Linked DNA regions of Caenorhabditis elegans. The protein of the gene in region 1 interacts with the protein of each later gene in a pairwise test. Each region holds a gene or a part of one and is shown in the gene's direction. Other genes may lie near its edges. The genes, in order: act-5 and erm-1.

Region 1 (3,988 bases):
TTGCATAATTGAGGAAAGAAATTGGAAAAACATTATAAATCTATTGCAAACATAAAGCAAGTATGATTATAAGATTTAAAGATGGAGTACCGAAATCTGAGACTTTGCTTTTTTTAGATCCGAAGTGACCCAAAACTACCAAATTTCGTAATGAGAAGTTTTGAAAATTTCACAAAAACAATTCGTTGATGCAAGTACATTTTCGGTCAGTGGGGCACAAAAATGTAACTTTTCTTTGAAAACTAAAAACGTTTAAGAAATGAAAAGTGTTACCAGTTGACAACTTTTGTTATTTTTAACTAGTGTAGAGTTACTGTAGTTTGAATAGTGCTACCTGGAACAAAACATTGAACTCCGATACCTCGTCCGACAAGTGATACATATTAGAATATTGCCAAAACAGTTTTTAGATTATCTTTTTTTTGTTCAACTGACAGTTATTTCTTGGTAATGAAGATTTTTCAGTAATTTAGATTATCATGTAATGATGTTATAATGTAGTTAGAAGATTTATAGTAAATGCACAAACATATAGTTTAACCACCTATAAGCCTCTACAGCCGAAAAGTTAAAATATACTATCCAACACATGAATCTACATAAATTTTGTTATTTAGTTTACAACTTTTTTCTTTTCCTTTTTGTTGCCATGTTACATACATTCCCAGGAAGCTGCCGGCTGCTATTTTCACGTTTTTCAGATTGTCGATATCTCAATTATTCCATTTCTAATTGCTTTTTTCAAAATAATAATTAAACTATTAATTTCTTCCACACTTCGACCGATTTCTCATCTTTCCTCTTTGTTATCAGTGATAAGCAGAATAGGGTAGTAGTAACTTTTACGGGTATTTTGGGATTATACGGAAAGGGTAATGTAATGAAACTTTGAATCTTCGGCACTTTCAAGATTAGCTGCACCCTAACATTAAAAAAATATAGTTTATGATCCTAAATTTCTATTGTATTTCTAACTAGCATTGACTCATTACTTATCAGTGACTCATTTTCCCAGTATGGCTTCTTTAAGAGGAATGGTAGGCGGAAACTTCAATTTTAGGGAGTATTTAAAAGTTGGAGTCAATTGGAATGTTATCACTTTATTTTTTCTAGTTTTACATTCCTAGCGCTCCAGTGACTGGCGGTAGTTGATTTTTATCTCTTGGGGGTTTTTTATCTTAGGAGGTCATGTAAAGTTGTCAACTGACAATGTATAACATTTTTTTGAAATGCTTTGTTAGTGGACCAGCCGGCTTGAGCTACTGGAAAGTTCGGGGAGCCCGGATGTAAGCCTGTTGGCCTGCATTTTCAAAAATTTCGTAGGTTTATTCCATATTTGTTATACTGATTTGAGCAATTTTATAAAATCGGCCATAGCTAACAGCCTCCCAGTGCATATCATGTCAATTGACAATTTCATGTTCTAGAATTGAGCACAAATTCTGACAGGCTGCTTACATCATGCTCACCAAACTATGACTTTGTCTGTGTGACGTGATAATTTGTGTGTGTGTGTGTGTGTGAGTGTGTACATATAACCACCACGTACCTGCAATTCTTAGAACGAAGTGAGAGAGGGAGTTATCAGTATCAAACGCACACACATATATACATACAGAATGTGGCATATTCTCTCCATTCTCTCTTTTTCTCGTTTTCCCCCCGATGGTGAGCTGGCTGCGGTACTGATAACACACTTTGCATTTTTGGGGAAATGTGGCAACATTTTCATTTTTCGGCATTTTATAGTACTCGTACATCACTTAATAACGTTTTCTATAAACTCGACTTCTTCAACCTTTTATTAATTTCAGATGGAAGAAGAAATCGCCGCCCTCGTTGTCGACAATGGATCCGGAATGTGCAAGGCCGGATTCGCCGGAGACGATGCTCCACGCGCCGTCTTCCCGTCCATCGTCGGACGCCCACGTCATCAGGGAGTGATGGTCGGTATGGGACAGAAGGACTCGTATGTCGGAGATGAAGCACAATCCAAGAGAGGAATCCTCACCTTGAAGTACCCAATCGAGCACGGAATCGTCACCAACTGGGATGATATGGAGAAAATCTGGCATCACACATTCTACAACGAGCTTCGTATCGCCCCAGAGGAACACCCAGTTCTCCTTACCGAGGCTCCATTGAACCCAAAGAGCAACAGAGAAAAGATGACACAGATCATGTTTGAGACCTTCAACACTCCAGCCATGTACGTCAACATTCAGGCTGTGCTTTCCTTGTACGCTTCCGGAAGAACCACCGGAATCGTTTTGGACACCGGAGATGGTGTCACTCACACCGTTCCAATCTATGAAGTAGGTAGATGGGTTTAGAGAATATAAGAAGACAGCAATCTTCTTTGACTTGGCGGTGTAAAGTTTTGGAGATTACGTCTGCTTCGACTAATTTTTGCAGCCAGAAACAGGCTCACAGCGCTTTCGGAAACTTTTAGTTCAGCTCAGCAGCTCTTATCCTTAGTTTTAAGTTTTTGGAACTGTAAGAACTTAGTAAGAGCAAGGCCACCTCATTTCTCTGCAAATCATAGCCTGAGCTTCTGATCTTCTTATCTGATCCACAATCTTCTTGTGAGAATTCTTTGGGATCTAAGAAATCTAGAACCTACATCCGATCTTATCTTCTAATCTTCCAGGGATATGCCCTCCCACATGCCATCCAACGTCTCGATCTTGCCGGACGCGACTTGACCGACTACATGATGAAGATCCTCACCGAGCGCGGTTACACTTTTACCACCACCGCCGAACGCGAAATCGTCCGGGACATCAAAGAGAAGCTTTGCTACGTCGCCCACGACTTCGAGTCCGAGCTCGCCGCCGCCGCCTCCTCCTCCTCCCTCGAGAAGAGCTACGAGCTTCCCGACGGACAGGTTATCACCATCGGAAACGAGAGATTCCGCTGCCCAGAAGTCCTCTTCCAGCCTGCCTTCATCGGAATGGAAGGTGCCGGAATCCACGAGACCACCTACCAATCCATCATGAAGTGCGATGTCGACATCAGAAAGGATCTCTACGCCAACACTGTTCTCTCCGGAGGTACCTCCATGTTCCCAGGAATCGCTGATCGTATGCAAAAGGAGATTCAACATTTGGCTCCAAGGTAAGCTTCACATTTCTCAGTACATGAGATTATAATTCTTGTATTTTCAGCACAATGAAGATCAAGATTATTGCTCCACCAGAGCGCAAGTACTCCGTCTGGATCGGAGGATCTATTCTTGCTTCCCTCTCAACCTTCCAGCAAATGTGGATCTCCAAGCAGGAGTACGACGAGTCCGGCCCATCGATTGTTCACCGAAAGTGCTTCTAAGCTGATTTTTTTTCAAATTTTTTTTTTCAACATGTGCCTTCCATTTCTAGGCGAAACACGATTTTACTTGACACAAATTCCATGAGATACTTCATTTTCTTTATATTTATGGTTTCTTAACATGAATAAACTTGTTAGGACCACTTGCTACTTGGGAATTGAGTAAAATTGATGGTACTTGTGTATTATTTCCCCTCATTTTTTAAAATATAATTTTAAATAAAAACGTGTGGAGTTTTTGTTTTTTAGGCTTAGGAAATAATCATTTCTAAGCCTAAAGATGGAAAATGGACATCACGTTTTATTAAAATGGATAATATTAAAATGAGGGGAAATAATGCACAAGTACCAAATTGATTTTACTTAGAAATTAAGAAAAAAAAACAAACAAATAAGTTAACCTAAACCGGATCTGCCGTTCGGCAACTCCGGTACCATCCGGTTCCCGTTTTTTTCGGTGATACAGAGCTTTCTTGATACTTTTTTGACAACTTCCATAATTTTTATCTTGTTGCAATAACTGGGAAAAAGAAATTTTAAAAAGTGAACTGAAAAATGACTCTTGAGAAAAAATGATCGTACGGTCTTATAGTTTTACTGTAAAACATTTTTGATAGTTTGCAACATCCATTTTGATTTCTTATGGAAAATCGGTTCTTTT
Region 2 (7,885 bases), on another chromosome or scaffold:
TGCTTTATTGGCTTTTTCCATCAAATTTTTTGTTGTCATGTTATCTCAACATTTTTCAAAATTAGTGTTAAAATATCGAAAAATTACTTGATTCGTCTGAAAATAAACTTCAATTTAGCTAAAACATTTAAGAAAGCTTTTAAAAATGGCCTGAAAATTGCCAGTATCCGATTATCGAATTATCAGATTTTTTGTCTAACAATTTGCAACTTTCCCACCGATTTTGAGCATTTCTTCAAATGTTTCAGCTAAAAATATGTTTCATTTCCAGATAAATCGAGTGATTTTCGATATTTTGACACTAATTTTTAGTGAAAAACGTTGGAACAACATAGCCCAATAATTTTGTAGAATTGCCGGAAATAATAGCCCTGTACCTGTAAATCAAAATCAATATTCCCACCTGTGACACATATTTTTCTGAATAATTTTTTGATTCATGAAACTTTTTCTTTAAAATAATTAAAGCATTAAAAAAAACTCAAACTCGCCAAAACTCCCAAGAAACTGTCCAGGCACCCGAGAATCGCGCCAACGCCCTGCTGGCGCGATTCTCGTGCAGTGGCAAATCGCAGAACGCGCCAAAAACGGATCCGAACGGGTTTGAATCAGACGATGACTCATTTTTTATTGTTTTTCGAGTTTTATTGATTTTTTTTAATCGCCAAATGTATAAATCCCCCTAAAATATACACAATTTTCCATGTGTCACTTTGAATTTTCGGATAAATGATTGAAAAATTAGATTTCTCTATTCAAAATTTAAAATTCATAACCTTGAACTCATTTGTTTCGTTTTCTTCGCTCCGTTTTCTGATTTCTCATGAATTTTTGAAATCTCTGTTCATTCGAATTCTATTTTCACATCTTATTTTACTTTCTTGCAGAAAAAAGTGACGAAGATTTTCGGTGGAAAAGTTTCGTGAATTCTCACCGCTCACCCCAATCCATCTTCGACTCGGACATCAAAAAGAGCTAAAATAATGTCGAAAAAAGCGGTAAGTTTGAAAAATGTAGCTTCAAATAATTTAAAACTTTTACGGCCAAATAAAAAAAAACACTGTTTAAATTTGCGATTTTCTTATTTCTTTCGGAAAAAATGCCGCCATTAATTAAAAACAAATGGAAAAAATTTGAAACTGTGAAATGTTGAATATTTCGGAAATTATGTTCTGTTCAGCACGACTTCTGCCGATTTTTTTAAAAAATAAGAATCTATCGATCTAAAAATATACTCTGTATTTTATTTTTCACTTATAAGACTATAAAGAGGCATATTTCTGCAAAATGGACTCATTTTTGAGGTTTTGTTGAAATTTTCGAAAATAGAGGGTTTCAATACCATTTTGCATAAATGCGCCTCTTTTTAAACATATAAGTGGGAAATAAAATACAAAACATATATTTTTTACAAAATTAATTTAAAAAATTTTAGAAAACAATTCAGATTTTTACGCTTACGAAGTAGAGCCGCGAACAATTTTGAACTCGAAATAAACTCAAAATTGATGATATTTGAAATATCATTTCATTCTTTTTTTTTCTGCCGAAACTTCTATGAAGAAATGCGCACATGTATGTGTGCAAACCGACAAATAGGCGGAGCCTGTACAAAAACGGGCGGTCTATAGTTCTTCTCACTCCGTTTTTGTGCTGTATACAGGGAGAGAGAGTGACAACTCATATCATTTAGTTTTAGATAAGAATTTTAAATTCTCAAGTTTCACTCTTTTTTTTATTTTGAATTTCTGATTTTCATGCAAGATTTCTTATATCATTTTACTGAAAAATTTTAAGCTAACCTCTTCATATCAATTGGTCCAGCAGTTCAAACTTGTGGAACACAAAATAGAAAAATGGTTGCGGCCGGCGATGTAAATTGTTAATTGAAAAAATTTTTTTTAGAAATTTAAGAAAAAATATAACGAAAAATCGATTTTATTTTTGCCTAATCCAACTATTTCTTGTTTCAGATCAATGTGCGTGTCACCTCGATGGACTCGGAGCTCGAGTTCGCTATTCAGTCGAGCACCACAGGAAAGCAACTTTTTGATCAGGTTAGATGATTTTGTTTTATTATATTTAAAAAGTACTTTTTTTATTAAATTGGAGAATGGATAAATTTTAATAATTCAAAAAAAAAATCAGAATTTTCTGAAACATTAAATTTTCACTAACCATTAGAAATTTTAAATCAAAACGATTTAAATTTGAAAAAAATAATCCAAAATTTCCAGCTCTTGAAATTGAGTTTCGAATTTTCCAGCAATATTAATTCCTTCATTTTAATTTTTGCAGGTTGTCAAAACCATTGGTCTCCGCGAGATCTGGTATTTTGGACTTCAGTACACTGACAACAAGGGATTCCCAACATGGCTGAAATTGAACAAGAAAGTCTTGTCTCAGGACGTTAAGAAGGACCCGACTCTTGTTTTCAAATTCCGCGCCAAATTCTATCCGGAAGATGTGGCCGAGGAGATTATCCAGGATGTCACTATGGTATGTTTGACACCTTTTTTTAAATATTTAATTTTTTGGAAAAAAAAAACTGTAAATTTTCCATTACCTCTGGCCAATATTTGATTTTTAGTTGTAATTCTCACTTTTCGCTTTTCTGACATTCTCTGGCGACTCTCTTGATTTCCTGTGCTATTTCTGATTTGTAACTGATAAGTAGAGAATGCCCGTGCCATTTATGCATGTAATGCAATGTTGGCAAGCAATAGGAAATAACTTTGGAGTATATTCAAGAATAGAAAAAAAGGGGAAAATTTTGGTAAGGAATACATTTCTGTGGTTTTAGAGTACCTTCTTACAAGCTGGCCTGCTTAAAAAGACCCCAAAACGACCAAATTTCAAAATGAAATTTCTCAAAAAATGCCCGAAAATGAATTAAAGCAGTGAAAATTCTGAAAAAAATCCGATATTTTTTCTGTTAAAAAAATCCGATATTTTTGCTAAAATTAGAATAAAGTTTTTTATGCCAGTGATAATTCAATAAAATGGCATTCCGATTTAGGAAAATTTGGCTCTTTTTTGAGAATTTTGGCTCGCTATAAAGAATTTTTGAATTTTTTAAACCAGTTTTATTTGAGCAAAAAAAACTCTTCTGCTCAAAAATTTCCACGGCTCATGTGCTCACAAGGTCCTCAATAAACTGCCTAAAAACAAAATATTTTGATGGTGACAAGTGTAAACATGGGCATTTTCTCCCTTCCGTTTCAAAAAAAGGTTCTCCCATTGAGAGTGTGGTTTCCGATTACCTCCGAGCCACTTTTTTGTCTCACACAAAAAGAGATTGTTTAATGGTTTGTAAACATCGATGGGAAGACACTGTGTGTGCGAGACTCTTTTTTTGAGAGGAGAAATGAGCATCCTATTAGAACCTCCGACTGCGAACAGGAAATCTCTGATCTGGGTGGTCTGTTTTGTTTGAATAGGATCACAAGATCAGTTGAAGATTTCAGTAGAATAGCTATTTAGTACCTATATGCAAATTGATTTAGTACCTATATGCAAATTTAGATCAGTTGTTAAAATTAATGTAAAAATTTCTTTTTTTTTTAAATATAGAAAAATACTTTTATTTCTATGAAAATAACATTTTTCAGTTGAAACATTTGAGAAAATGCACAAAAATGGTCTGAAAGTTTCTAATTCACAAAAAAACCTTTTTTGAGCACTTTCTCAAATGATTCAAAAATATAAATATCACTTCCGGTTAAGTAAATTGATTTTTTCTCTTTTTTTTAGATTTCCAATAATATTTCGCATTTGAATTTGAATAGATAGACTGACTTAAATTCTGTTCCGATGACTCATATCAATGGAAACAATGAAAAAACTCTCAGTTTGTTGCTGTCTCTTTGCTCTTTTTATATTCATGTTCATAACTGACATAAAGAGGAAGAGGAGAATGGCATGTGTGAATAATCAAAAAATGATTCAAAACGATAAATATGAGGGGAAGAGAATATAAATTGAACTTTTTGCAAAATTTGCAGAATTTTTTGTTTGGAAGAGGGAACAATTGGGTTTCAGAATCATTAGTTGAAAATGGAGTATGGTTTTTTAAAATGTCAGAAAACAATCTCAATGTACAGAACATACAGTTAAAAAATTATGAAGTTTTTTAACTGAAATTAAGCCTTAATTAAATGAAAATATTTTCAGCGTTTGTTCTATCTCCAAGTGAAAGATGGAATTCTGTCAGATGAGATTTATTGTCCACCGGAAACCTCTGTTCTTCTTGCCTCTTACGCGATGCAAGCTAAATATGGAGACTATGTTCCAGAGACACATGTCGCCGGATGTCTTACTGCTGATCGGTGAGTTTTTCTTGAAATTAGCTTTTAAAAAAATTATTAATAACTATTAAAAAATATCTTTGCGGTTCAAAATTCCAATCAAGATTACTAAAATAAGAAAAATAATAATTTTCTGCGATAATTCATTTTTAATTATGTAGTGAAATTTCACAGTATCACAGTACTCATACAATTCATAATTATCACATGAAAATGAGATTAGAATAAAGAAGGGAAAGTTCCAGATCTAGATGATCAATAAAAAAGTATATAATAAGAAGTAGTTAAAAAAAAGTAAACTTTTTATATTAAATGCCAAAAATAATTAATTATTTCATTCCAGTCTGCTTCCTCAACGCGTTCTCGGACAATTCAAATTGAACAGTGAGGAATGGGAACGCCGTATTATGACATGGTGGGCAGATCATCGTGCAACTACACGTGAACAAGCTATGCTTGAATATTTGAAAATTGCACAAGATCTCGAGATGTATGGAGTCAATGTACTGTTTCTCATTTTTCTGTCGAGTTTTAAAAAAAGCTAATTTCAGTACTTTGAAATCCGCAACAAAAAGGGAACTGATCTCTATCTTGGTGTCGATGCTCTTGGATTGAATATTTACGATAAAGCTGATCGTCTTTCGCCGAAAGTCGGATTCCCATGGTCGGAGATTCGTAATATATCATTCAACGACAAGAAATTTGTCATCAAACCAATTGATAAGAAGGCTCATGTAAGTGATTACTGTCACACACAGTTTGTCGTGGCATCAAGCTTCTATTTGTTGGCAAAATTTCTGCGGAAAAAACGGAAAAATTGTGTGATAGTAGTTGGAAGTGGTGGTGATAAGAAGCAATCGATGGAACATTGAATTTTGATTTAAAATTTTTTTGTTGGTTTTTCTTATTTTTGGGGTGTGAAAATATCACAATCATTGACCAGATGCGGAATGTTGCGATTTTGAGGCAAAAGTATGGTGCCCGGTCTCGGTCTCGACACGACCGAATAAATTTATTTACCAAAATGGTGTGCACCTTTAAAAAGTAGAGTAGCTCCAGGCCTTTCTGATTTCCAACTTCGTTAGATTTTTCTAGTTTATTAATTAATAAAAATTAGTTTCACTAACAAAAGTAAAATAAAAGGTTTTTACAATAAAAATATTTAGAAAAAATCTATGAAAATTTCAAATCAGCTCAACGGTAACTACTGTACTTTTTAAATGCGCACATCCTTTTTCATTTAAATTTATTCGATCGCCTCGATATCGAGTAATGTGTTTTTGTATCAAAAATCGCAAATTTCGAGATGGATGGAACATTTTGTGGAAATTGAGTTTGTTGTAATTTTTCTGAACATTTTTTCCCCGATTTTTTGATTTTAGAAAAATCGAAAAAAAATTCTTATTTTCGCTGAAAAAAAAATCGAAAAAATGTTTTTCATTATTCGTCTTCATTTTTATCATTAATTTTCAGGACTTTGTCTTCTACGCTCCACGACTCCGTATCAACAAACGTATTCTTGCTTTGTGTATGGGAAATCACGAGCTTTACATGCGTAGAAGAAAGCCAGATACCATTGAAGTTCAACAAATGAAGCAACAAGCCAGAGAGGATCGTGCTCTTAAGATTGCCGAGCAGGAGAAGCTCACCAGAGTAAGTTGCGGAAATTTTTGAAACATGTTTTTACAAATAATTTCTAAAAAAACTTTCACTCAAATCTGTTTTGATCGTACAGGAGATGTCTGCTCGCGAAGAAGCCGAACAGCGTCAACGTGACGCCGAAAAGCGTATGGCTCAAATGCAGGAAGATATGGAGAGAGCTCGTCTTGAATTGGCTGAAGCACACAATACAATTCACTCATTGGAGGCTCAACTCAAGCAATTGCAATTGGCTAAACAAGCATTGGAACAGAAGGAATACGAACTTCGTGAGCTCACTGCTCAACTTCAATCCGAAAAAGCAATGAGTGATGGTGAGAGACGTCATTTGAGAGACCAAGTTGATGCTCGTGAACGTGAAGTTTTTTCGATGAGAGAAGAAGTCGAGAGACAGACTACTGTTACAAGACAACTTCAGACACAGGTATTTTTTATTTTTGAAACTAAAATAGAAACAAAAAATTCTCTTTAAAAAAATTATTTTAAATACCGTATTAACAATTATCGAGCAGTAATTTTCAGTCTGAAATTACTGTTTTAAAATTTTAAAATGAAAAAAAGTATGCAGTAATTCCTGAAATTAGTTGATTACTGTAACAAAAAAGCTTAATTTAAAAAAAAAATTTGCAACAATAAAAGAGATACAAAAAGAAAAAACTAAAAAAAATTGTGAAAGAATAAAAAATCCGATCTTTAAAAGCGAGATTTTTTAATTGTACGCAGTGATGTTGCAACAAAAATTTCGGCCAAAAAACAAACAAATTTTGTTTAAAATTTCTCCAAAAAACCAACAAAAAAAAACAAAAATGTTCATTTTTCGTCATACCAACTAAAACATAAAATTTTTGATAAACATTTTTTTAAATGTTTTCTTGTCCGAAAAAACCAAAAAAAACGGAATCCCTGATTGTAACTCTGGATTTATTTTATTTCAAAATTATTTTTTCTTAAATTCAGATTCACTCGCAACAACACACTCAACACTACTCAAACAGTCATCACGTTTCCAATGGACACGCTCACGATGAGACTGCCACTGATGATGAAGATAATGGAGCAACTGGTATGCCTTTTTTATTTATTTAAAATAATTGGGAGAGATTATGAGAAAAAATATCATCTTCAAATTTTATCTTCCAGAACTCACAAATGACGCTGATCAGAATGTGCCACAACACGAGTTGGAGCGTGTCACAGCAGCCGAGAAGAACATTCAGATCAAGAATAAGCTGGATATGTTGACTCGCGAGCTTGACAGTGTTAAAGATCAGAACGCTGTCACTGACTACGACGTTCTGCATATGGAGGTTCGTATTTTAAAAAAACTCGTTTTAATGGATGGTTTTAGAGAATTTAGCATTCAAAATTTACAGTAATTTTCTAGAACCTGCATTTTTTTCATAAATTCAAGTTTTAAAAAATATTTCCGGACTGCGATCAAAATACAATTTTTTAAAAATTAAATTTGGAAAAAAACAGAAGAACGCAAAAATCTTTAAAAAATATCGAGTTCCGGATTATTTTAAAATAAAAAAAATCATTAAAAATCATTAAAAAGCCATTAAAAACAAATTTTGCTTAAAAATAATTTTATGATATTAAAATTGTTTGAAGTACAGAAATTGAGTTTTTTCGGTGTTTTCTGTTTGCAGACAAACCGAAAACATTTCTGAAAACATTCCAAACTCGGTATTTCCTTTACGGAAACAAGCAACATAAATTTTACTTATTTTTGAACAAGTTTGACCCTAAATTTTTTAGATTTTTTGAGCGAAACCGAAATATCGAAAAACCGAAAAACCTGCCGGCCCGATTCCAAATTTTTAAATTTTCAGAACAAAAAGGCCGGACGCGACAAGTACAAGACTCTCCGTCAAATCCGTGGAGGAAACACAAAACGAAGAATCGATCAATACGAA

What was found.
Region 2: the proteins of act-5 (region 1) and erm-1 interact in a two-hybrid assay, tested with the Caenorhabditis elegans proteins (one study listed by BioGRID).

What each region holds. Positions count from the first base shown.
Region 1 is NC_003281.10:13,603,893-13,607,880, reverse strand, and holds act-5 (Actin), read left to right. Parts: upstream 1-1,814; coding exon 1,815-2,315; intron 2,316-2,650; coding exon 2,651-3,117; intron 3,118-3,167; coding exon 3,168-3,327; 3' UTR 3,328-3,469; downstream 3,470-3,988.
Region 2 is NC_003279.8:5,284,607-5,292,491, reverse strand, and holds the start of erm-1 (Moesin/ezrin/radixin homolog 1), read left to right. Parts: upstream 1-1,797; 5' UTR 1,798-1,856; coding exon 1,857-1,874; intron 1,875-1,973; coding exon 1,974-2,057; intron 2,058-2,298; coding exon 2,299-2,499; intron 2,500-4,173; coding exon 4,174-4,328; intron 4,329-4,650; coding exon 4,651-4,810; intron 4,811-4,858; coding exon 4,859-5,041; intron 5,042-5,780; coding exon 5,781-5,960; intron 5,961-6,042; coding exon 6,043-6,390; intron 6,391-6,923; coding exon 6,924-7,029; intron 7,030-7,106; coding exon 7,107-7,273; intron 7,274-7,801; coding exon 7,802-7,885.